Saccharomyces cerevisiae S288C: one gene and its partners. Changing the gene in region 3 together with the main gene of any one other region gives a genetic interaction. Each region holds a gene or a part of one and is shown on either strand. Other genes may lie near its edges. The genes, in order: RNH201, NAM7, ESC2 and SLX1.

What was found.
Region 1: mutations in ESC2 (region 3) and RNH201 together harm fitness more than expected from each alone (negative genetic interaction), as found in Saccharomyces cerevisiae (6 studies listed by BioGRID, with this or other methods).
Region 2: mutations in ESC2 (region 3) and NAM7 together harm fitness more than expected from each alone (negative genetic interaction), as found in Saccharomyces cerevisiae (5 studies listed by BioGRID, with this or other methods).
Region 4: mutations in ESC2 (region 3) and SLX1 together harm fitness more than expected from each alone (negative genetic interaction), as found in Saccharomyces cerevisiae (8 studies listed by BioGRID, with this or other methods).

Annotation. Positions count from the first base shown.
Region 1 is NC_001146.8:488,423-493,000, forward strand, and holds RNH201 (ribonuclease H2 catalytic subunit RNH201), read left to right. Parts: upstream 1-1,894; coding exon 1,895-2,818; downstream 2,819-4,578. Other genes in the region: lysine--tRNA ligase MSK1, read left to right, coding at 1-1,694; LAT1 (dihydrolipoyllysine-residue acetyltransferase), read left to right, coding at 3,101-4,549.
Region 2 is NC_001145.3:426,212-431,333, reverse strand, and holds NAM7 (ATP-dependent RNA helicase NAM7), read left to right. Parts: upstream 1-1,706; coding exon 1,707-4,622; downstream 4,623-5,122. Other genes in the region: ISF1 (Isf1p), read left to right, coding at 239-1,255. UniProt on the Saccharomyces cerevisiae protein: RNA-dependent helicase required for nonsense-mediated decay (NMD) of aberrant mRNAs containing premature stop codons and modulates the expression level of normal mRNAs. Also capable of unwinding double-stranded DNA and translocating on single-stranded DNA.
Region 3 is NC_001136.10:1,197,241-1,205,095, forward strand, and holds ESC2 (Esc2p), read left to right. Parts: upstream 1-1,942; coding exon 1,943-3,313; downstream 3,314-7,855. Other genes in the region: transcription factor TFIIIC subunit TFC6, read right to left, coding at 1-1,457; proteasome regulatory particle lid subunit SEM1, read left to right, coding at 4,888-5,157; CDC40 (Cdc40p), read right to left, coding at 5,603-6,970; pre-rRNA-processing protein ESF1, read right to left, coding at 7,257-7,855. UniProt on the Saccharomyces cerevisiae protein: May be a substrate targeting component of a cullin-RING-based E3 ubiquitin-protein ligase complex RTT101(MMS1-ESC2). Involved in HMR and telomere silencing via the recruitment or stabilizing of the SIR (silent information regulators) complex.
Region 4 is NC_001134.8:669,485-676,727, forward strand, and holds SLX1 (endonuclease), read left to right. Parts: upstream 1-5,828; coding exon 5,829-6,743; downstream 6,744-7,243. Other genes in the region: TDP1 (tyrosyl-DNA phosphodiesterase 1), read right to left, coding at 1-813; YBR225W (uncharacterized protein), read left to right, coding at 1,143-3,845; MCX1 (Mcx1p), read right to left, coding at 4,088-5,650; glucan 1,3-alpha-glucosidase ROT2, read right to left, coding at 6,873-7,243. UniProt on the Saccharomyces cerevisiae protein: Catalytic subunit of the SLX1-SLX4 structure-specific endonuclease that resolves DNA secondary structures generated during DNA repair and recombination.

The DNA of each region.
Region 1 (4,578 bases), on a different chromosome or scaffold from region 3:
CACCGAGATGGCTGTGGTGCAAGTGTCGAAGTAGCAGGAGCAGGCCGTATTCTCTGGCACACGCGGTCGACACAAGTAAGATGGAGGCAACCAGGAGGAACGGTCAGATTGTGAAGGACCTGGGTAGATACTATCCGTCAATGTCAGAATCAGCACTCCACGATCTTTGCCAGGAGTATAAAGAAGTCACTATCGCAGACTTTAATGAGAGATTCTTGGGCAACCCAGCCACATTACACCATGAGGATAATCCTAATTTGTTACTTAGTATTAATGGCAGGATTAAAAGCATTAGGTTTTCAGGCCAGAAGATTGTTTTTATAGATCTTTACAACGGCAGTAGCGGATTGAAGAATGATACGCAACTGCAGTTGATCGTAAACTACAATAAAATTGGTGGGAGTAGTGAGGATAAGGCGAATTTCTCAGAATATATGAACTTTTTGAAGAAAGGAGATTATATTAAGGCGCTCGGTTATCCCGGGTTTTCCCAATCCAGAGTCAAGATGCTGTCCTTGATATGTAATAAGCTACCTATAGTATTGTCTGTTTCGCAACTGCCGTTACCTTCCAGACTGAATGATGAAACCAAGATCAAATCTAATAGAGTTGTTGACTACCAATTAAACGGCACTCAGACACTGCTAGTAAGGGCGCGTATCATCAAACTTTTGAGGAAGTTTCTCGACGACAGAAACTTCGTTGAGGTTGAAACGCCTATACTGTCATCAAAGTCCAACGGTGCCATGGCGAAGCCCTTTATAACGTCGTCCAAGGACTTCGACCATTTGGAGTTGCGTATTGCACCAGAATTATGGCTGAAGAGGCTTATAATTAGTGGTTTACAAAAAGTATACGAAATAGGAAAGGTCTTTCGAAACGAAGGCATTGATTCCACGCATAATGCTGAGTTTTCCACTTTAGAATTCTATGAAACTTACATGTCAATGGACGATATAGTCACAAGGACTGAAGATTTGTTCAAATTTTTGATTACTAACTTGCAAAAGTTCTTTCAAGATACCCGTCTGCCTGTCCCTAAGACGTTTAGTGAATTACATCTGGCACTATCCGAGAATAATTGGAAGTTTAGAAAAGTCGAATTCCTGCCCACTTTGAACAAAGAGCTTGGCATTGATCTAATGAACTCTGGATTGGATATCAATAAGCCGAGCGAACTTTTGAAGGCTTTACCGAAAGACATTGCGAAGAAGTATTTTCCTTCTGCAGATAACACTGGGCAATTATCTTCGCTGCAAATCCTAAATAAACTATCGGACGTGTTCCTCGAGCAGCGCCATTGTCAATCAACCTTGCCTACGGTAATATACCATCAACCTGCAATATTATCGCCCTTAGCCAAGACGGATCCGCAAAATAAGCAAGTCACGAAGAGATTCGAAGTCTTCATCAAAGGTAAGGAATACATCAATGCTTACGAAGAGGAAAATTGCCCCCAATTACAACTGCAGAAGTTTCTACAACAAAAGCAGATTAACGAATTGACAGGAAACAAAACTGAGACCTTATCGCCTGTTATTGACTACCAGTATGTTGAGACGATGAAATACGGTATGCCTCCAGTAGGTGGCTTTGGCCTTGGCATAGATAGATTGTGCATGCTATTTTGCGACAAGAAGAGGATAGAAGAGGTTCTGCCCTTTGGCTGTGTGGATGATGTAAACAGGCAGTAAATTTTGCGACGCCTGCCAATGCTTTTGTAAATAAATCAGACATATACTGTAAATAATTAGAATGGCATTTAATTTTTTTTTTTTCTCTACACCAATAAACTACGCTACGCGAAAAATCCAATATAAATATTCAGTTATAGCTAATGAGAGTGTCGAAAAACCTTGAAAACAACTACTGCACACCAAATTGATACGATTAAATGGTACCCCCCACGGTAGAAGCATCCTTGGAGTCTCCTTACACTAAGTCGTACTTTTCACCTGTCCCAAGCGCGCTCTTGGAACAGAATGACTCTCCAATAATAATGGGTATCGATGAAGCTGGCAGAGGGCCCGTATTAGGGCCAATGGTCTACGCAGTAGCCTATTCTACACAGAAATATCAGGACGAAACTATAATCCCTAACTACGAGTTTGACGACTCTAAAAAACTTACAGATCCCATCAGAAGAATGCTGTTTTCCAAGATATACCAGGACAACGAAGAACTAACCCAGATCGGCTACGCAACTACGTGCATCACTCCGTTGGATATCTCTAGAGGAATGAGCAAGTTCCCACCGACGAGAAACTATAACTTGAATGAGCAGGCGCACGATGTCACAATGGCACTCATTGATGGCGTGATAAAGCAGAACGTGAAGCTCAGTCACGTGTATGTGGATACTGTTGGACCACCAGCGTCCTATCAGAAGAAACTGGAGCAACGATTTCCTGGTGTCAAGTTTACGGTCGCCAAGAAGGCAGACTCGCTCTACTGCATGGTCAGTGTGGCGAGTGTCGTTGCAAAAGTGACCAGAGATATACTAGTCGAATCCTTGAAGAGGGATCCCGATGAGATCCTGGGTTCTGGATACCCCTCCGACCCGAAGACAGTCGCATGGCTGAAGCGCAACCAGACAAGTCTTATGGGCTGGCCCGCCAACATGGTAAGATTCTCATGGCAGACATGCCAGACTCTGTTAGATGACGCCAGTAAGAATAGTATCCCTATCAAGTGGGAAGAACAATATATGGACAGCAGGAAGAACGCCGCACAAAAAACCAAGCAATTGCAGCTCCAGATGGTCGCTAAGCCTGTTAGAAGGAAGAGGCTGAGAACCCTAGATAATTGGTACCGGTGATCACCTCCAGTTTGCACATACTATATATCTTCATGTAATACTACATATGTCATAACTTCAATAACTCATACAAGTCATCTGCTACTATGCTTTGCCGTTTCTACTATCCGTGAAGCGTGACCGGCCCTTCTCACCCCCCGTGTTACGCAAAGAACAACAAGAGGTCGAGACAACCAACCGGAACGACTAGAAGAGAGGCTGTTACGTTTCCTGTTTGTTCACGCTCAACATCTTCCATTGCTGTAAACTGCATCCAGTAAAATTAATAGTTATTAGCGTACTATGTCTGCCTTTGTCAGGGTGGTTCCAAGAATATCCAGAAGTTCAGTACTCACCAGATCATTGAGACTGCAATTGAGATGCTACGCATCGTACCCAGAGCACACCATTATTGGTATGCCGGCACTGTCTCCTACGATGACGCAAGGTAATCTTGCTGCTTGGACTAAGAAGGAAGGTGACCAATTGTCTCCCGGTGAAGTTATTGCCGAAATAGAAACAGACAAGGCTCAAATGGACTTTGAGTTCCAAGAAGATGGTTACTTAGCCAAGATTCTAGTTCCTGAAGGTACAAAGGACATTCCTGTCAACAAGCCTATTGCCGTCTATGTGGAGGACAAAGCTGATGTGCCAGCTTTTAAGGACTTTAAGCTGGAGGATTCAGGTTCTGATTCAAAGACCAGTACGAAGGCTCAGCCTGCCGAACCACAGGCAGAAAAGAAACAAGAAGCGCCAGCTGAAGAGACCAAGACTTCTGCACCTGAAGCTAAGAAATCTGACGTTGCTGCTCCTCAAGGTAGGATTTTTGCCTCTCCACTTGCCAAGACTATCGCCTTGGAAAAGGGTATTTCTTTGAAGGATGTTCACGGCACTGGACCCCGCGGTAGAATTACCAAGGCTGACATTGAGTCATATCTAGAAAAGTCGTCTAAGCAGTCTTCTCAAACCAGTGGTGCTGCCGCCGCCACTCCTGCCGCCGCTACCTCAAGCACTACTGCTGGCTCTGCTCCATCGCCTTCTTCTACAGCATCATATGAGGATGTTCCAATTTCAACCATGAGAAGCATCATTGGAGAACGTTTATTGCAATCTACTCAAGGCATTCCATCATACATCGTTTCCTCCAAGATATCCATCTCCAAACTTTTGAAATTGAGACAGTCCTTGAACGCTACAGCAAACGACAAGTACAAACTGTCCATTAATGACCTATTAGTAAAAGCCATCACTGTTGCGGCTAAGAGGGTGCCAGATGCCAATGCCTACTGGTTACCTAATGAGAACGTTATCCGTAAATTCAAGAATGTCGATGTCTCAGTCGCTGTTGCCACACCAACAGGATTATTGACACCAATTGTCAAGAATTGTGAGGCCAAGGGCTTGTCGCAAATCTCTAACGAAATCAAGGAACTAGTCAAGCGTGCCAGAATAAACAAATTGGCACCAGAGGAATTCCAAGGTGGGACCATTTGCATATCCAATATGGGCATGAATAATGCTGTTAACATGTTTACTTCGATTATCAACCCACCACAGTCTACAATCTTGGCCATCGCTACTGTTGAAAGGGTCGCTGTGGAAGACGCCGCTGCTGAGAACGGATTCTCCTTTGATAACCAGGTTACCATAACAGGGACCTTTGATCATAGAACCATTGATGGCGCCAAAGGTGCAGAATTCATGAAGGAATTGAAAACTGTTATTGAAAATCCTTTGGAAATGCTATTGTGAGGTTAGAATGAAAATAAAATTCGCCAGTA
Region 2 (5,122 bases), on a different chromosome or scaffold from region 3:
GCAAACATCTGAAAATCTCACATCTCTTTCTATCTTACTTTTATTCAAGTCTACTTAAATTTGTCTTTTTTTCTTTTCTTCTTTCTCTACCAATTATAATAAGTGTATGAGCTACAACCACTTAGATTAAAGGTAATACACATAAATAGAAAGGTTTGCGTAAAATATTTCAGTTTGAATAATTATCTCCTCAGTGGAATAAAAAACATCAAAGAATAGAAATAGTCGCTGTATTTTGATGATTGCTTCAGAAATTTTTGAAAGAGGTGTACAAGATCCATTTTGTCAAGATTGTGATTATGAAGATGAAACAGACGTACAAAGTTTTTTAGGTTCAAATGATTTGAATGATTTTGTAAATTCCAAATTAGCGTCCTTTAGTTTTCAAAATTCCTCGAAATCAAATAATTCTCACCACAGCAGCAGTACCAATGCCGGTAATACAAGCAGACACATAGGCAATCATACTATTGGCCACCATTTGAGAAAAATCAAGACAGCTCCGCATCACTTGTATGGCTTCGTCCCAGCAAATTCAACGAACAATTCCAATGAACCAATTCGCCCTTCTCCAAGAAGAATAAGAGCAAATAGTAGCACCCTCATTCACCAGTTGTCCAGACAATCCACAAGACAGTCTTCCTTGGGCGACGCGGCGGATTCCTGTTTTGACCACAAATGCATAAAGCCAAGATCCAGGCATTCTTCCTGTTACGGTATACCAACACATCTATACGGCCTTGAAAAATACGTTTCATCCGAGCTAGACTCTCTAGCAGTAGCTAACGACCAGTCAAATGATCTCACTTCCCCATTAACATCTGTTTCAACACCCGCCTCGAATTCCAACTCGTATTTGAATCTGAATTCAAGTTCGGCTGCATATCCGTCGTCTTATCTCTCCAACGAAAAGAATAATCGACTAAAATTGATTTCCCATGGGAAAATATCATCAAATAACGTCCCAGGTCACAGTGGAAACCTTAACCACTATCACAGAGAACGAACGCCATCAAATCTAAGAAGAGAATCCTTTTCGCTTCTTTCCAATGGTTCCTCTTCCTCTCCCTTGCAGACTAGAAACAACTCGTATTCCAACTCTTTGGTGAAATCTCCTTCCAATAGTTCATTGAATACTAGTGTGGCTTCTTCTAACGAAGAATCTAGTCCTCACACTTCTAATTGCCTGGAGGAAAGGAATCCCAGGAGAAAATCATTCATAAAATTGTCACTAGCGAGTTCATTCTCCAATTGAAAACGAAACATATGCATCTGGCGAACTCCGTAATTCGCCTAACTTTTAATGAATTCATGAACGGGAAATAAGAAAAACAAAAAGAAAATATACATAGTTAGTTACTATCCACTCAATAATATTAAACGAGTGAATGCTTTTACTTTTAACTTTAGTTTAATCTTAATTTACATTATTTTAGTATCATCAGTTTCCCTTTGCTTACTTGATTTGGGAGGGACACCTTTATACGCTTTCGTACTAACTGATCAAATGAAAAGCTTACCAGAAACTTACGATGCTATTGTGAAGGAGAAAAAAAAAGCGAAAAGAGGCATCGTTTTAACGCACACTAACAGAAGACTCTATTTCTCTTGTCAGCCAACAAACGTTGAAGATTTCATCAGGAAAGAAGGAAGGGCAGCAAGACCGAATATACTTTTTATATTACATCAATCATTGTCATTATCAAATGGTCGGTTCCGGTTCTCACACTCCTTATGATATATCAAACTCTCCATCTGATGTAAATGTCCAACCCGCAACACAACTAAATTCCACCTTGGTGGAGGATGACGATGTAGATAATCAGCTATTTGAAGAGGCTCAAGTCACTGAGACTGGATTCCGTTCGCCTTCAGCTTCAGACAATTCATGTGCGTATTGTGGTATAGATTCTGCAAAGTGTGTCATCAAATGTAATTCATGTAAGAAATGGTTTTGTAACACTAAAAACGGTACAAGCAGCTCCCACATTGTTAATCACTTAGTTTTATCCCACCATAACGTAGTTTCTTTACATCCAGATTCTGACTTAGGGGATACCGTTTTGGAATGTTATAACTGTGGACGTAAGAACGTGTTTTTATTGGGATTTGTTTCCGCTAAAAGTGAGGCCGTGGTTGTTTTACTTTGTAGAATACCTTGTGCCCAGACGAAAAATGCGAACTGGGATACTGATCAATGGCAACCATTAATTGAAGACAGACAACTTTTATCATGGGTCGCAGAGCAACCAACTGAAGAAGAAAAATTGAAAGCTCGTTTAATCACTCCTAGCCAAATTTCCAAGTTGGAGGCAAAATGGAGATCCAATAAAGACGCTACAATTAATGATATTGACGCCCCAGAGGAACAGGAAGCAATCCCACCTTTACTATTGAGATATCAAGACGCCTACGAATACCAAAGATCTTACGGGCCTTTAATCAAATTGGAGGCCGACTATGATAAACAACTCAAGGAATCTCAAGCTTTAGAACATATTTCTGTTTCATGGTCCTTAGCTTTAAATAATAGGCATTTAGCATCTTTCACTTTATCTACTTTCGAATCTAACGAGTTGAAAGTTGCCATCGGTGATGAAATGATACTATGGTACTCTGGCATGCAACATCCTGATTGGGAAGGTCGTGGTTACATTGTTCGGTTACCAAATAGCTTCCAGGACACATTCACATTAGAGTTAAAACCAAGTAAAACGCCACCTCCAACACATTTGACCACTGGTTTTACTGCTGAGTTCATCTGGAAAGGTACCTCTTATGACAGGATGCAAGACGCATTGAAAAAATTTGCCATTGATAAAAAATCTATTTCAGGTTATTTGTACTATAAAATTTTAGGCCATCAAGTGGTTGACATTTCATTTGATGTCCCATTACCTAAGGAGTTTTCAATTCCGAATTTTGCACAATTAAACTCATCCCAGTCGAACGCTGTTAGTCATGTATTACAACGTCCGTTATCTTTAATTCAAGGCCCACCAGGCACTGGTAAAACAGTTACTTCAGCAACGATTGTGTATCACCTTTCCAAAATACACAAGGATAGAATATTGGTGTGTGCCCCATCAAACGTTGCTGTAGATCATTTGGCTGCCAAATTACGTGACTTGGGTTTAAAAGTTGTTAGACTTACCGCGAAAAGTAGAGAAGATGTGGAGAGTTCCGTCTCCAACTTAGCATTGCATAATTTGGTTGGCCGTGGTGCTAAAGGGGAATTAAAAAACCTATTAAAGTTAAAGGATGAAGTTGGCGAATTATCTGCTTCTGATACAAAACGGTTTGTTAAATTAGTAAGGAAAACAGAAGCAGAAATTCTCAATAAGGCAGATGTCGTATGTTGCACATGTGTTGGTGCTGGTGATAAGCGCTTAGACACTAAATTTAGGACTGTGTTAATTGATGAAAGTACTCAAGCTTCTGAGCCGGAATGTTTAATCCCAATCGTTAAAGGTGCGAAACAAGTTATACTTGTTGGTGATCACCAGCAACTGGGCCCAGTCATATTGGAACGAAAGGCGGCAGACGCTGGTTTGAAACAATCTCTCTTTGAAAGATTAATCTCTCTAGGCCACGTACCGATTCGTTTGGAAGTTCAATACCGTATGAATCCTTATTTGAGTGAGTTTCCAAGTAACATGTTTTATGAAGGCAGCCTACAAAATGGTGTAACGATTGAACAGCGTACCGTTCCCAACAGCAAATTCCCATGGCCAATTCGCGGTATACCAATGATGTTTTGGGCCAATTACGGTAGAGAGGAGATTTCTGCTAACGGTACTTCCTTCTTAAACAGAATTGAAGCCATGAATTGTGAACGAATCATCACTAAACTTTTCAGAGACGGTGTCAAGCCCGAGCAAATTGGTGTTATCACACCATATGAGGGACAAAGAGCTTATATTTTACAATATATGCAAATGAATGGTTCATTGGATAAGGATTTGTATATCAAAGTGGAAGTTGCCTCAGTTGATGCATTCCAAGGTCGTGAAAAGGATTACATAATCTTATCGTGTGTTCGTGCCAATGAACAACAGGCCATTGGTTTCTTACGTGATCCTCGTCGTCTAAACGTGGGTCTAACCCGTGCCAAATATGGTCTAGTTATTCTTGGTAATCCTAGATCTTTGGCAAGAAACACATTATGGAACCATCTGTTAATCCACTTCAGAGAGAAGGGTTGTTTAGTCGAAGGTACGTTGGATAACTTACAGTTATGCACTGTTCAATTAGTTCGTCCTCAGCCAAGAAAGACTGAACGGCCAATGAACGCTCAATTTAACGTAGAATCTGAAATGGGTGACTTTCCGAAGTTCCAGGATTTTGATGCACAGAGTATGGTGTCATTCAGTGGTCAAATTGGGGACTTTGGTAATGCATTTGTTGACAACACAGAACTTTCTTCTTACATCAATAATGAATATTGGAATTTTGAGAATTTTAAAAGTGCTTTTTCTCAAAAGCAAAATCGCAATGAAATTGACGATAGAAATTTGTACCAGGAGGAGGCTTCTCATTTGAACTCTAACTTCGCGAGAGAGTTACAGAGAGAAGAACAAAAGCATGAATTGTCAAAAGACTTCAGCAATTTGGGAATATAATTCGGTGAACCCTGTTAAAATAAAATGTTAAACTTGGCTTGTGATACAAAACGGCTCAACCGTGAAATGAGCGCTGCAAAATTATTCGAGATAGACTCGCAATTTGCACAATTGTAACCTGAAAAACTTTTTTTACTTTTCCGGAGGTGCATCTATCATTACAGTATGTGATAAAGGGGCATGGACTTGATATCCTAGCCTACTAATCTCTTTGCTAAAACATGTTGCAACCAAATAGGGCTACCATTGTACTTCTAATGAATACTCTTTACGGCGCACTGCAATGCGTAATAAAGTTTTATTGTAGCGAGGTTTCATTTTTGCTTATGTTCTTTTTATTGTTTAATACGTGCATATGTATTCTATAAGATAAATGTATATAACTGCCAACAAAATAAACTAAAATCAAGGTATGGCTGTAGAAAATGATACCACAGATAATAAAATAATAAATAATCTAATAGCTGAGTGGAAGAAAAAAAAAAAATAAAAAAAGAGTA
Region 3 (7,855 bases):
GCAACTGTACTGACGACTGTATCTTCAAAATCTGAATAGGCTGTTGAAACGGATAATATGTAGGAGTCATGGACTTGGTCATAAAATGAAGGCACTTCAGGATCAGTCAAGTCAAACTCTGCTACAAATCCGTTCTTAAAGCCACAAACAACAGTAGTAGGAGATAAAAAATCAAAAGTAGTTATCAAACTGTCTGCCAGGGATAAAGTCAAAGAAGGCTTCTCACACATCTTAAACACGTGAACATCGGTTGCATTATCAATAATTTCCAAAAAATTTATTGTCCCTTCCTGGCTTACGAATGATAAACAGCCAACCAGATGAGGTGCGTGACATCCTTCGTGCCATTTAAGATCCCACACTTCACCAAATGAGTGTACAATGGTTTGAACTTTTACGCAATGTAGAGTAGAAGTATTCATTTTGAAAATTTGTATACAGGAGGAGTGCTTCTCCTTGTCAAACATTTCTAAATGCTCGTTCAAAGGCTCATCCATGTACTGTGATACCGCGACGGCTAAATATTGTATATCCTTGCCTATATCAGTATTTTCCTCTATATTAAGCCATGCAATATCTGTTACCAATCCTCCTACGTTGTAAATAAAGCCGCGCCTTTTGCCGTTAGCAAGCACCGGAAACTCTATTTTATCGCCAGTGGATACCTCTGCATCAACTTCCCCGATAAGTAACTTCAATCTCTTCGTTCTCAATTTGATCATATTCTCAAATTCAGTCTTATTAATTTCATGATATACGGTTCTGTTTTTATCCCCTATGACTTTATTATATGCACTTTCCTTTTTACACGGTGGATCTAAGCATACAAAATATGGAGAATCAGGCTGAATATTCTTGAATGGGAAATCGAAAACGCTAGTTTCAAAGCCTTCCTTAACTTTTGCTAGCAACAATAACTTTTCCTTATTCAGTCCATAAATTCTTTCAATCTTGTCTCTTGCACTCGAAAGATCTTTTAGGAGCCTGATGGGACGGCCCTTCTGTCCTAGACTTGACCCTGGGGAGCTGCTCTTCATATTTTTAGTCGAATTCTTCTTCAAACGAAGTTTCTGTACAGTATTTCTTCTTCCACTGGGTCTAACAGAAGCTCCACTTCCACTACTGTTTAAATCCGCCACCTCATTTTTAGTAGACTCTAACTCATTCTCAAATTCTATCTCAACATTGTCACTTTCCTCACCATCACCTTCATCATTCAATACAAAATCATCATCGTCGGTGTCATCAACATTATTGACTTGTGTAGTATTTATCACATCATCGCGACCAGCATGCACTAATTGTGCGAAATTTGCAACTGCTTTCTTAGATGCGTTTCTCCTCGGCCTTTTACTGCCTGAGTTTTCAGATACTGGGCTTGCCAAGCTATCATAGGGAACTTCTGCTACCACAGATTTTCTAGGTCTTCCTCTTTTCTTTGCCGGTATTACTGCCATCGCCACAACTTAATATATTATTACACGTATCGCAATGGAGCAAGTTAGAGAAATTTCGCTAATGGATCAAAGAGTACTAGCTTTAGTTTTTAGGACATGAAACTGCTCTTACTGAGTAGAAATCAAAGCTTTAACAACTCATCCAGGCTTTCTCGAACAAAAAATGGAATGTTGTTTATCTTCTTTTGCAACGTAGGGTTTTCGAACCGCAGCTTTCCGGGTGATACTGAATCCCTTCTATTTCCTTACAGAAGACAGCAAATTTTATTGTAGCATATAAGAAAAGAAATGACAGGCAGAGGAGGGACCAGCATGCCTATGAATTCCCAATACCATATATCACTTTGACAGCGTATATCGCAATTGAAATAGAACAACTTTTCATTATTACTTCAGAATTCATTTTAAAGTGATTGCGAACACGGATTATAGCCCTGAACAATAAAAGGCAAGAGAAAAAATCATTTGTTTTAGGCTGTTAACAGATGACCGGTGATTCCAGAAGCATCAGCGAACCCTCAATTAATCTAGATCCAGATAATACAAGTTTTTCTGATGAAAACAGCGATGACTTCTTTATGGACAATTCCTATGATATAGATGAAATCGATCATAGCGATGAAAGTAATAGGCAAAGTGTCATAGTTGACTCTAAAGTCACGGTACCGCCATCAAAGCATTCAACTCTAACATTATCTGATAGTGAAGATAGCGACGCAAAGGAACAACATCAGTCCCTGAGCAGATCATCTAGTAAAAATGTAAATATAGAAGATATTACGGAGCCCAAGCCAGACAAACCATCGGGTCGAACTAGAGGAAGATCTGTGATGAAAGAGTCTGTAGTTGAAATAAACTCATCTGAATCTGACTTAGACGAAGACAAAAATTTTCCCAGATCTAGGTCAAGGTCCAGGTCAAGCATAAGATCAATATCTCCAGCGGGAAAATACAAGCGACAGAAAAGTTCATTACTGTATACCTATGATGAAAACGATGACTTTTTCAAGGAACTTGCTAAAGAAGCCAAAAAAAGCACCACTATTTCTAAAGAATCGACACCCGACCAGCGGAAGCGAGTTTATAACATCAAATTTCTCTCTAAGCTAGAAGGAACTATAAATAAAGCGGTCCAAGTGAAGGTCCTCGGAAAATACGAATTTTCAAAAATACTTCCTGCTGCTTTGGACGGATTGATGAAGTCCTATAAAATTCCGAAGGTAATGAAAGATATATACAAGGTAGAGAATGTTACTCTTTATTGGAACAATGCAAAATTACTCACTTTTATGACTTGTAATTCGCTACATATCCCACAGGATTTTGAAAATGAAGTCTCTGATATCGATGTTACTATCGTATCCAAAGAATACGAAAAGAACTTTGAAGCGACACTGGAATCAAAGTTAAAGGAAGAAGAAGCTGCTTTACTCATAAAAGAACGTCAGGAGATGGAAAGGAAGTTAGAGAAAAAGAGAAATGAACAAGAAGAGTCCGAATATCGCGAGTTTGAATCCGAATTAAAAAACGTAGAAGAAACACAAGAAATAAAAGAAAATGATACAGTTATGAATACAAAACTTCTGCAAGAGGGTGGCTCTTTGTCAGGAAATAGTAGTAGCATGGAAGAAGTTATGAGAATCGCTCTCATGGGTCAAGATAACAAAAAAATCTATGTCCATGTTAGGCGTTCAACACCATTTTCTAAAATTGCCGAATATTACAGAATCCAGAAACAGTTACCACAAAAGACGAGGGTTAAATTACTTTTTGATCATGATGAATTGGACATGAATGAGTGTATAGCCGATCAGGATATGGAAGATGAAGACATGGTTGATGTCATTATTGATTGAGCGCAATTTGCTAAAAAAGGCCGAACTCCGGCTCTTTACGTGCCACAATTATTATTTACTATGGGCGGCGGGTGTGTTGGTGGTGCTTGCGGTACTTGTAAAATATTTTCTGAATATAATTGAATAAGACCTTTTGTGTTTAAATCATACTCGGGTAATTCTCTGTTCAAAAAGTAGGTGCTGACCCTCTTCTACCTTCCGTGAAATATTATAAAGGAATTTTTCCATCTCTAACTCAACATGTTAACGCTTTTCTATAAAAATTTGATCGCCTAATGAATACAAAAATCTCTTCAGCTTTTTCGTGCTAGGTTTGAATAGTACATCTAACGTAGAACAACTATCAAAACAATTTGATATTTCCTCGGCTATAGTTTTCTTGGAACAAGAGGTAAACTACTTCTCTATTGTTGCTACAGCAGTCAATTAAAATAATTCGTTTCATCATAATATTATGATATCAACGCTAAAAGGTTGTATAAATTACGAGATCAGCAGAAAATAAAATTCAAGCCATCATCCTTTAAGGTGATTTGAAGGGCAAGAATTGGTAGTGTAACTGCATCAATGAGTGATTAGGTGAAAACGAAGAAAAATAATAAATATGGTACTGTGCAGAATTGTTGATTTTCTTTTTTGAACTCTAAACCATCAAGAATGGCTTTCACCCACTATTGTTACACATAGTACTATTACTTACACCAAGATGGGATCCGACAAATATCTCAACACTATATTGGTCTACATGCTTTATCGATTGCTCCTTATTTACGTATTTCTATAAATAGGGCGTACTTTACCAACAGTGATCATGGATGCAAAAAATGTGAATACATTTATATGGAAAAAAGGTTTATATCAATATATTTTAAAGTGATTGAAAATTACTGATGTGTTTGATATTGTTGGAATAAGAATCAACCATCATATACCCGACTAACGTTCATATTATTAGTAAACTATCATATACAACCTAAGAAGTTGACATAAAGATTGACAAGCAGTTACCATTTTTAGTAGAAGTTGAAAAGCAAGAATTGATAACCAAATATTGTTTTCCAACAATGCAATCCCAACCCTATCTCAATATTCATAGAATTCACTTATTTCTCAGTTTAATACATGATGATGCATCTTGATATTGAGAAATTATATGTATTATCCCTTTTTAACCTTTAAAAGGTCACAAATAAATAGCCTTGTTGGCGCAATCGGTAGCGCGTATGACTCTTAATCATAAGGTTAGGGGTTCGAGCCCCCTACAGGGCTAATAACACATTCAAAATGTTATAAATTTTTTTTCGGGTTTGTGTTTAAAACTAACCTTCTAAAGAAAACAATAAAAATTATATCAACATTTCCTCATGTCTTTGTAACCTACTAGTAGGGATTTTGAAGGGCTGAAAGCTTCTTAGTTCTGTCGGATCCATTATATTATCATTATTTACGAAACTAGTGCTATGGGTGGCGAACGTGGTGGGCGTTACCTTTTAAAGTCCTAATGGAAACCTACCTATGCATAAAGTGAATAGAGTGGCAATAAAAGTCGAATAATAGTACAAATACGCAAAAATATGAGTACGGACGTTGCTGCTGCACAAGCCCAAAGTAAAATAGATTTAACAAAAAAAAAAAATGAGGAAATAAATAAGAAGTCTCTAGAGGAAGACGATGAATTTGAAGATTTCCCCATTGACACATGGGCCAATGGTGAAACAATAAAAAGCAATGCTGTAACGCAAACAAACATATGGGAAGAAAACTGGGATGATGTTGAAGTTGACGACGATTTCACCAATGAATTGAAGGCCGAATTGGATAGATACAAACGGGAAAATCAGTGAGGGGCTACATAACATTATTTCTAAATAACGCAAAAGGAAATTATACGTCTAATGTTACTTTAGTACATTGTTGTCATACTAGTATATTTTGCTTAGATGATAAAATAAATAATAAAAAGAGATACGAAAGGCTATGCGGTAGTCGATTATATGGCCTTGTAGTATAATAATGATGCACGCAAAGTATTAAATAACTCAGCTGAGATTTCTCATTTCTTTAAATGCAGTCTCAGTTTAAAAAATTAACTATATTAAGATCCGCTCTTTCTACCATATGATGCAAATGTGTCCTCGAACTAGTACTTGCAATTTCAGGTAACCCCAATCGTTTCTTTATTATTGTCATTTTTACTATCATAATAATATCATCCGTAATAACAATTAAGTAACAAATCACATCCATGTAACCATTTAATTTGTTTCAAGTAACATTCCGAGTGAATAGCTAGTCACATACATATATCTTACCTGCCGCTCCGCTGCAAATGACTTTACTTGTTTCTTGAGGATGCCAGTCCACTTGAGTTATAGGCTTGTTGCCTGGAATCTTGATGTTATTTAATAAGCGCGACGTATTCCAATCCCAAGTAAATAGTCTGCTTTTTGAATCGCCTGAACATATGTAACGACCATCACCAGAAAAAGCCAAGCTTATCCCATAACCAGCAGATGAATGCCCTTTAAATATCTTTTTTGGATGCCTCTTATATTTGGGTTTCAAACTGAAAGAATATATTCTATTATCCATGCTTTGTGCACAGAAATAGTTCTGAGACGGATGTACATTTAAAAATGGCATAGAATGTTGAGCCGTGTCACTTATTTGTTTTATTGGTACATTGATCTGATTTTCCCAAATTCTTACCGTCTTATCCTCTGAAGAAGAAATAAACTTCGAACCATCGGGAAAATACTTGAGAGCCAGAATGCTACTTAGGTGATGATCATATGTCTGCACAAGACCTTGATTTTCTGAAACACGATCATCATAATGTAATATTTTCGAATTCGATAAACCTACAATGAACTCATGTGGGTTAGTGGGCCGAGATTCAACATCTGCAGGCGTTGAATTAAGGTGCAACCTGGTTTTCACTTTACCAGTTTCAGTATCCCAAATTTTAACGCTTCTATCAAAGGAAGAGCTCAAAAAAGATTGACAGTCTTCGGTGAATCGTAATGCTTTAATAGGCTTGTTATGACCTTGAAAATCTCGTAGGCATTCATAGTCATGGTAGAAATCCCAAATTTTTATAGTATGATCATTACCACCAGAGAGAATTAAGTGTCCAGTTTTAGGTAAGAATTTCAGGGCAGTGGTTCCTTCTGGATGCCCCGGATAATTACGTATAACTTTTTTTGGTAAGTAACACCGAAAGGATATCCTTTCCTCACGAAGATCAACATCGACGTCATTTGGTGGATATAAATATCCTCTGCCTTGATAGTCCTTTTCTGATTTACCATAAAAATGGGAGACTTCCTCTACCTCTATCTGTTCCGAATCTAGGTTGTCCTCAGCCAGCGCGTGCACGAAGATATCCTGATCTTCTTTCTGAGTTTCGCTGGCTTGTGAAGTTTCATCGTCACTACTTGACCAACTGCCCCACGGCCCATCTCCTTTGCGAGTTTTCCGTCTTCTTTTTAGTTCTGACTTTGTAAAATGTGATTTTCTCTTATGAATATTATTTGAAGAAGGTTCATACGAAGTATCTTCATGCAAATTACCATTTTTCTTTTCATGAACAGATTTGCCTTCGTCGAAGTTCAAATCAGAGTCTGAGCTTGTGTCATAACCGTCTACTAAACCCATTTCATCTGCTCTTCAAAGTACATGCCGTGTTTGTTGCACTATTTGGCCAAAAATAAAGGAAAAATTTCAAGATTTTTTTTTTACCTCATCTCTAGCAAGGACACAGTACTCCCTCGTAAATAAGACAAAATACAAAAAAGAAAATTCAAAGAAATGGTATTACAAGAACCGGTCAGAGAAACATTACGATAATTGATATCAACTACAAATCCAATGATGCATTCTTTATAATTGTACATATCTATTTGTATTCAAGTTTCATTTAAATACTATTTCATTGACTGCTTTAAACCTTTACCTTCTTGGATGATTTGCTTTTCTTTTTCAACTTGTTTACCAAGTTACCAATATCTTCATTATCATCTGCGTTATTGGTCATATTGTTTTCACTACCGCCAAGTTTTCTTTTCTTATTCTTAACACGTTTACTACGTTCTTTTAGGATTTTACTCATAGCTTGTGTACCTTTGAATTCAGGCTGGGTCGGGTCGATAGCAAAATCGTGATCTTCGAAGACTTCTTTAAATCTAGGATCTTCTAAATCAGGTGTAAAGGTGTCTTCAACAATTCTCTCTTTCTTTTGATACCGGCCTTTCTTGTGTTTTTCTTTTTCTGATCTTAAGATTTCGTTCATGTTGAAATGTGCTTTGTTATTTATTGTGCCCTGAGTTTCGGTATCATCATCATCATCCATTAAAAGCTCCAATTCAGCCTTTGATTTGGCATTCTTTTCGATCTCCTCTTCATCGTTAGTATGCTTTTTATTAACAGATTTCAACTTGCTTTTCTTATCCTTCTCCGACTGCTGTTTCAATTCCTTTACTTTCTGCTTTCTTGCTTTACGACGTTCCTTCTCTTTTCTTCTTATTTTCTCTATAGTCGTTT
Region 4 (7,243 bases), on a different chromosome or scaffold from region 3:
TACAAATTCTAATTCGCTCAAAGGAGCAAAGTTAACTTCCTCTACGCTTTTTGTAATCAATTCGTCAATGTCTTTCAGGTGGTACGAATTGAGGTATTCTATCAAGCTTCTCTTAAACGGTACTGGTAGCCCTTCTTTACCTATTTTCAAAAGGGGACTGCACCAACACACCTGTTGAGGCAGGTTAGTCTCCATTGACGTAAAATTGTTAGATGGCAAGAATATTTTGCATTCGCCATTATCGTAAAAGTTTATGATCAGCTTCGTATGGTGGGAAGCGAATGGGGGCATCGTTATTTCAATAAGTTTGACCTTTTTTAATATTACTGCCAGTGTCGCGTCCATAGCACGGGCTTCGATAGGCATAATAGTACCCTTTTGGCCGACGATGGTTATGTTCTCTACGTTCTGGTGGAATTGTCTCAACAAGAAATCAAGTTCGTATTGGAAACTGAAGAGTATGCTTCTTTTTAGTGTCTCAGTGCCAAAGATATCTTTCAATGTAATCATATCCTCTACTTCTCCCATAAAATCCTCTCTTTCATAGAAGTCCGATTTCATTAGTTTAAAAACGGCACCTTTTGCCGTATCGTTTGTTTCTATTCTCTCACTCAAATCTTGTTCCTGATTAGTCAAATCAATGATTTTCGATTCACTGACTATGACGCAGTCGTCGCTATCATTGTTACTGTTGACCGGAGCCATATTCTCCATTTCAGCACTATACCTGACGCTCTTCCACCGTTGTGCTACTTTCTCGGCAACATCCGACCTCTTCCTCTTAGTTCCATTGAAATTTGTTTCTCGTGACATTAATGATCGGTTGAAAACACATTATCATCATTCTTGTCTGGGCTCACCGTTTCTCTGCATTATTTTCCTCTTTATAAGCCCTTTATTAAATTACCATTTTCGCAGTTTAGTGCGGCCGCCGAAAATACATCAGAAGGGATCCATACCAACACTTACCAAGAACGCTGAAACACGTTGTTCACATCACCTGAAACAAGCAGCAGCTACTGGAGAAGTGTGTAAAGTAGTAGTAATTATTAAAGGACACATATTGAAGGATTGTTCAATTTTCTTTTTTATTATTTTTCCCCTCATTTATCCACTTTTTATAAACTGCTCAAGTAAATACAATGGGCTCCAATAAGGAAGCAAAAAACATTGATAGTAAGAATGATAGGGGGTTAACCAGTATAACCAGTAACAAAATTTCCAACTTAAAAGCACATGATAACCATACAAGTTCAATGATTACTGAACATAAAAATGCTGACAAAGAAAAGGGGAAACAAGAAAAAGAGAGTAGAAATGGAACCACGCAATCAAGTAGTTCAGTAGAATCACACTCACCACAAGTAAGCCATCATTCAGATAAGCTCTCGTCCTTTGATTCGCCCTTACATTTGCCAAACTTTAGACTGGCGGATGACTTGTTCTCAAACTCGTCAAGACGATCATCTGACTCCGCTGCCTCATCCTCAGTATCCAAACTGAAGTCCGCTCAGCTTTCCAAAATAGGTCTACATCATCATCATACAAGTAATAATAAACATAGTCATAGAAGCGGAACTCCGACTTCCGAAGTGAAAGCTAATTACTCACCAGACCCTTCTGCACCGCGATTCATTGTATCCAATATGGTCGGCAATGGCCGGGGAGGTGGTGGTCTACACGGTGCAACTTCGAACGTTGTCAAGAAACTCCATTCTAGAAAAAAATGGGACTGGAACACTTTACCGGCATCAGATTCTTCTCTTCTAATCAAAACCGTTTCAGGAAATCATAATTTAATCAACATTTGCATAGACGGTGAATTCAAACAAATAATGTACGACCCGAATCATAATGAGCTCTTTAATAGAATGGACTTGTTTCTATCTTTTAACATGGACTCCTCGCCAGAAGACTCTTTAATATTTGCCAAGAAAAGATTACGGTCGTACATTGATTTCCTAACAAAATATTTGGAATCTAGGAAATATGCATTTGAATGTTATCCATTTAACATTGAAAACATCATAAATATAGAGACTGAGGTTAAATGCTTTCCATCGTTTGACCCGTTAAAAGATTATTCTGAAATTGAATCCTTGATTCAATTATGGTTGGCTCAATCTCAAAAATTTTTACTGCAATCAAATTCATTCTTCTTTTCATCTGAAGTAGTGGAGGAACTAATAAAAAGAAAACCAACCACAAGACAACATTCTAATCCAACAATCAGCACCACCAGCAACAAGATCAGTGACCCTACATTATATATTCAGCAGTTAGATATAGAAGCAAACTCTCCAAGGCCAGTAATATCGGATCCATTAGACGAAATTGACATCTTATTAATAAGACCGCTGCATAAAACCCTGGGCGGTTGGCAGCTGGCGTATGATGAACCAAGCTTGAACATCGCAGATTTCGCATTAGATTTATCTCCCTGGATGATTGACAGCAGTGACAATGACGCTCAGAATAAGAATGCTAGTGAAATTGCTCCTGAGTATTTAACAAACTTACAAAATTATTTGCCACGAAAGGGTTCAAGAGCGAAAATAGTTTCTGACGAACAAGAAGTTATCGAATTGAATTCTTCCAATGCTTCAGAGTATATGTATGATTGCATGAATAGAAAGTTCTTTACAGATGATGCAAAAGAACGTATTTCTAGAAACAACTTCAATCAGGGAGTTGAGGAAGACCCTCTAAACGACCAATTCGCTTCAAGTAGATCTTTATCATTGCCGTCCTCGGGAGCAGATGCTGTCAAAAGGAAGAAGAGCCCTACCAAGGCTACTAAAAAATCTGGTTTCGTCAACTTTTTCAAGAGAAAGCATTCTCAACTTGCATCAACTTCACATACTACAAGCCCTTCAGTTTCACCTAGCATATCTTCTTCTTCTTCTCCAAAAATTCAACCACAGTCACATATCTCTAGTCCCCCTCGGACAGAGAAAGCTCCCCATGTCAAATCAGCCAACCAAGCACATCAAAATGAATGGTTGGAGAATTTTTTTTGCCGGACTTTGAACAACTACAAAGAAATCGATTTACCGACCCAATTTATTTTGCCAAAGGAAGTGAAGAGGTCCTCTAATGCACAACTTCAGCCTGAAGATGAACCACCTTTGTCATCACCAATATCCTCTAATTCGGATAACTCCTTTCCAAATGAAGGACTTGACAGGGCAAAAAGCGCAGCTATTTATGGTAAAGAATATTTAAAATTAAGACTGCCGTTTGCATCAGACACTATACCTGCTGTAATATGCCCGTGGGTCTGGACAAGTTTAAGTTATTATAAATGGAAAGCTCTACTTAGGGAAATATACAGATCAATAATTCCTGGCGGGTACGCGCTGGCAATTGTTCCAGATTTAAGGATTTCAAACACATACTATACTGGAATTCTTGGCAACGCCGATGCCGAAAAAGCAAATAATTCATCAGAAGAGTTTTTGACTACAAAAGAACGGGACAAGACATTTGATGCTATGGCTATTGATGCGATAAATAAAGGCTTACATATCCATCCTACAAAACACTTAACGAGGACATTCAAGGATGTAGGGTTTACAGGCATCAAGTCCTCGGTCCTAAGTTTGAAAACTGGTGACTTCAAAACAGATATGGGCTTTTTGAATGAATTTAATTCTTTAGATATGTGGGACTACATGTTAAGGAGGCAACTACCAGATAGTAGTTGTCCTCCAAAGGATACCGACCCCACCACTCTTTTCAAAAGATATGTGGAAGAACACATAGGAAAAATCGATGACAACGCTGGCTGCTTTAGAACTTTGTATGTGGTGGCGCAAAAGCCAAAGCTGCCATATACCAAATAATTGTGCCGCCGTTCCAATTTTTTTTTAAATTGTTCAAGAATTACTTCAATTTTTACTACTGGACAAAAAGCATTATGATAAGGAGTAGTCTCCCAGTATCGTAGAACCAATTTGAAACACTTTAGCCAATATTTATTAATTTTTTTTACTTCCCATGGCATAGTACTTTGTAGGAAGATTATTTGTTCATTTACTACATTTATTACATCTATATTTATATATTCTATACCATTCATTTTTTTTTATGTTAAGCTTCTCTTGGGAATTGTTGGGGTATGAATGTTAGCAGAATGACCCAACTCTTTTTCTAGCATAACTCCTAATTTTTTATCTTCTTCAGAAACGTCACGAATTAAACTGTCCTTTTCATCACCAGAATAGTATTTTACGTCCACTTGGGAAGCCAAAGAGTGCTCTGTTTCCTGTAACGAGTCGACAGTAGCTTCGTCGATTAAAACGTATGCTATGTTAGAACCCGGGCAATCATAATTAACGTTTAGCAGAAGTCTTTCCATTATCCCTCTCAACCCTCTGGCGCCAGTTCCTTCCTTGAGAGCAAATTGAGCAACTTTCTTTAGCGCCTTTTGTGTAACACACAATCTTACCCCAAATTGCTTAAAAATATATTCATATTGATCCAATAAGGCATTTTTAGGTTCTTTTAATATATGAAATAAATCGTCTCTTTGTAGAGGCTGCAGAGCAGTTATAATTGGGACTCTGCCAATTAATTCAGGAATTAGACCAAAGCTAACTAAATCTGTGGGGGTGGTCAAGTCTAAAGCACACACTTTTTTTCCGTTATCTAATTCAACCTGCTCAAGCGTATTGCTAAATCTGAACTTCTTCGCTCTTTCTTTTTCAACTTCTTTACTATTCGATGATTCAACAGACTCTCCTGCCTTCTGTATTTTCTTCATATCTTCTATCCTTTTAACAATATGCTTATCTAAACCAACAAAAGCTCCCATAATCATGAAAAGAATATTTGAAGTGTCTACAACAAATACTTCGTCCTTCTTTGTTGTAGTTTGATTTTTTTGTCCGTCAATATCATGCTTAACAGGCCTTTTAACGGTAATTTCCACTTTATGGCCCTCAATGATTTTCAATAATGACTGTTGAACCCCTTCTCCGGACACGTCTTTAGTGCCAATGCTTGCGGCAGGCTTGGCTAGTTTATCAATCTCATCAAGAACAATAATACCTTTTTCTGCTCTCGCAACATCAAATTCAGCATTTACGAGCAATCTTTCAATGCATACTTCAACATCTTCACCTATGTAACCTGCTTGAGTCAATTGTGTACAATCTGTAATTGCAATTGGAACGTTTAATATTTTCGCCAATGTTGTTGCCAACAAAGTCTTACCAGAACCTGAGGGACCAACGACAAGGACATTACTTTTGCTTAACTCTAAATCTTCGTCAACCTCTCTACCTGCTAAATTAAACTGTCTTTGAAGATTCCTCCAACCAGCCTTTGATTCGCTGTTTCCACTGAAAATTGGTTCATCCCTATCATCCGCGATTTTCTCTCGTTCCATCAATTCTCTCTGCCTTTGTAATTCCCCTTTCTTTTGCTTGTCATTGATTCTTAAATAGTGATTATAAACTGCCACGCTTAAAACCTTCTTACCAATCTCTTGACCAACAATGTACTCATCGAGGAATTTCTTCAATGCTTTTGGAGTGGGTATATTCGATAAACGAGACTGTGCCAGTTTCCCTGATGCTGTAGCAGCATATCGACCAATTCTACTAGAATAAGCTCTAAAAAAGTTTTGGCTTGCAGATTTCAACATGAGTGTGAAATGTAATTAGAGTGCCTTGTCTTCTATGGTTTTGTTTGATGAGCCGTTTGCTTTTCTTTTTAATTTTAATATATACCACTGATGACTTATTCCCTTCTATCATCGAAAAAATATTGTCAAATTAATGTTCTCTTTTTTCAAAAAATATTAAAAAGATAAGAAAGGTACCATGTCGCAGAAAATACAGCAGCATCAGTTTCCTGATTTTTATTGTTGTTATCTACTACAATCGATTAACAAGAGGCAATCATTTTACGTTGGATCAACTCCTAACCCAGTACGACGTTTGAGGCAGCATAATGGGAAATTGGCTGTTGGAGGGGCATATCGAACCAAACGTGACGGTTCAAGGCCCTGGGAAATGATAATGATTGTGCGGGGCTTCCCAAGTAAGATAGCAGCTTTACAGTTTGAACATGCATGGCAACATGGGTACCAAACGCATTATATTGCCGAAAAAGATCGTGTTGTAAAGCATAAAGCAGGTGGAAGAACTTTACATCACAAAGTTGCATTAATGAAGTTACTTTTAAAGCATGAATTTTTTCAAAGGATGAACTTGATAGTCGAGGTTTTTAATATAAAGGCTTGGGAGGTTTGGAAACAGGACAAATTTTTTATTGAAAGAGACAGATTTCCGATTAATATACAAATAAATGAAAATGCGCTTGAAGAACCAAAGGAGAAAACTGTGGATGTTCTCATGGATCATAGTGATGAGAATTTAAAAGTGGTGGAAGCTGTATACACTAAAGTCATTGAAAATGAAAGAAACATATTCGAAACTTTCGAAAAGAAACTAACTACAGGGGTAGTGCGATGTGAAATTTGTGAGAAAGAAATTGACTACACGTCTGAAGAGCAAAATCTGAAGCCGTTTGTAGCGCTTTGCAATAATAAAGACTGTGGGTGTGTTAACCACTTGAAATGTCTTCACAGGTACTTTCTAGATGATGAACAGTTGATGGTAGGGAGAAGAAATTTGATACCTCGAGGTGGGAAATGTCCGAAATGTGATATGTTTTGCGACTGGACGACCCTAGTCAAGTTTTCGACAAGAATGAAGTTAGCTCACGGGAAGTAGGGCCTGACACAATTTTCGGTTCTTTTTTTTCTATAGATAATGGTTATATGTTATATTTACGGATATTTTTACGTTTACTTTGTAAGAAAGAGCTAAAAAGATGTAAAGATATCACTTCGTTTTTTTCCCTCAAAAAATAACTTCCCAATCTTCAGTTATGTCAAGCGATAGGTTAAGAATGGTGATCTTATTATCATTCTCATATGACGATCTAGTCGGCAATGAACTTTCTTCGCCATTTTTTTTGACTTTAATACTGTCTTTCAACGTTATGTTGTGTTGTAAATTATTCTTTGCGATAATGATTTTTTCAATATTGGTATTCCTCAAAGTATTGTGGTGAATGCCTGTCAAATTCTCGGGAATATGACTTCGAACATTTTTTAAGGTATTGTTTTCGAAAATGAACTGAGTTTCTACGTACTCACCTCTTTGGTAGCCAAAAGTTTCTCCATCATCAACATAAAGATCTCCAACGGCTCGTCCCTCGGTATCAGGGG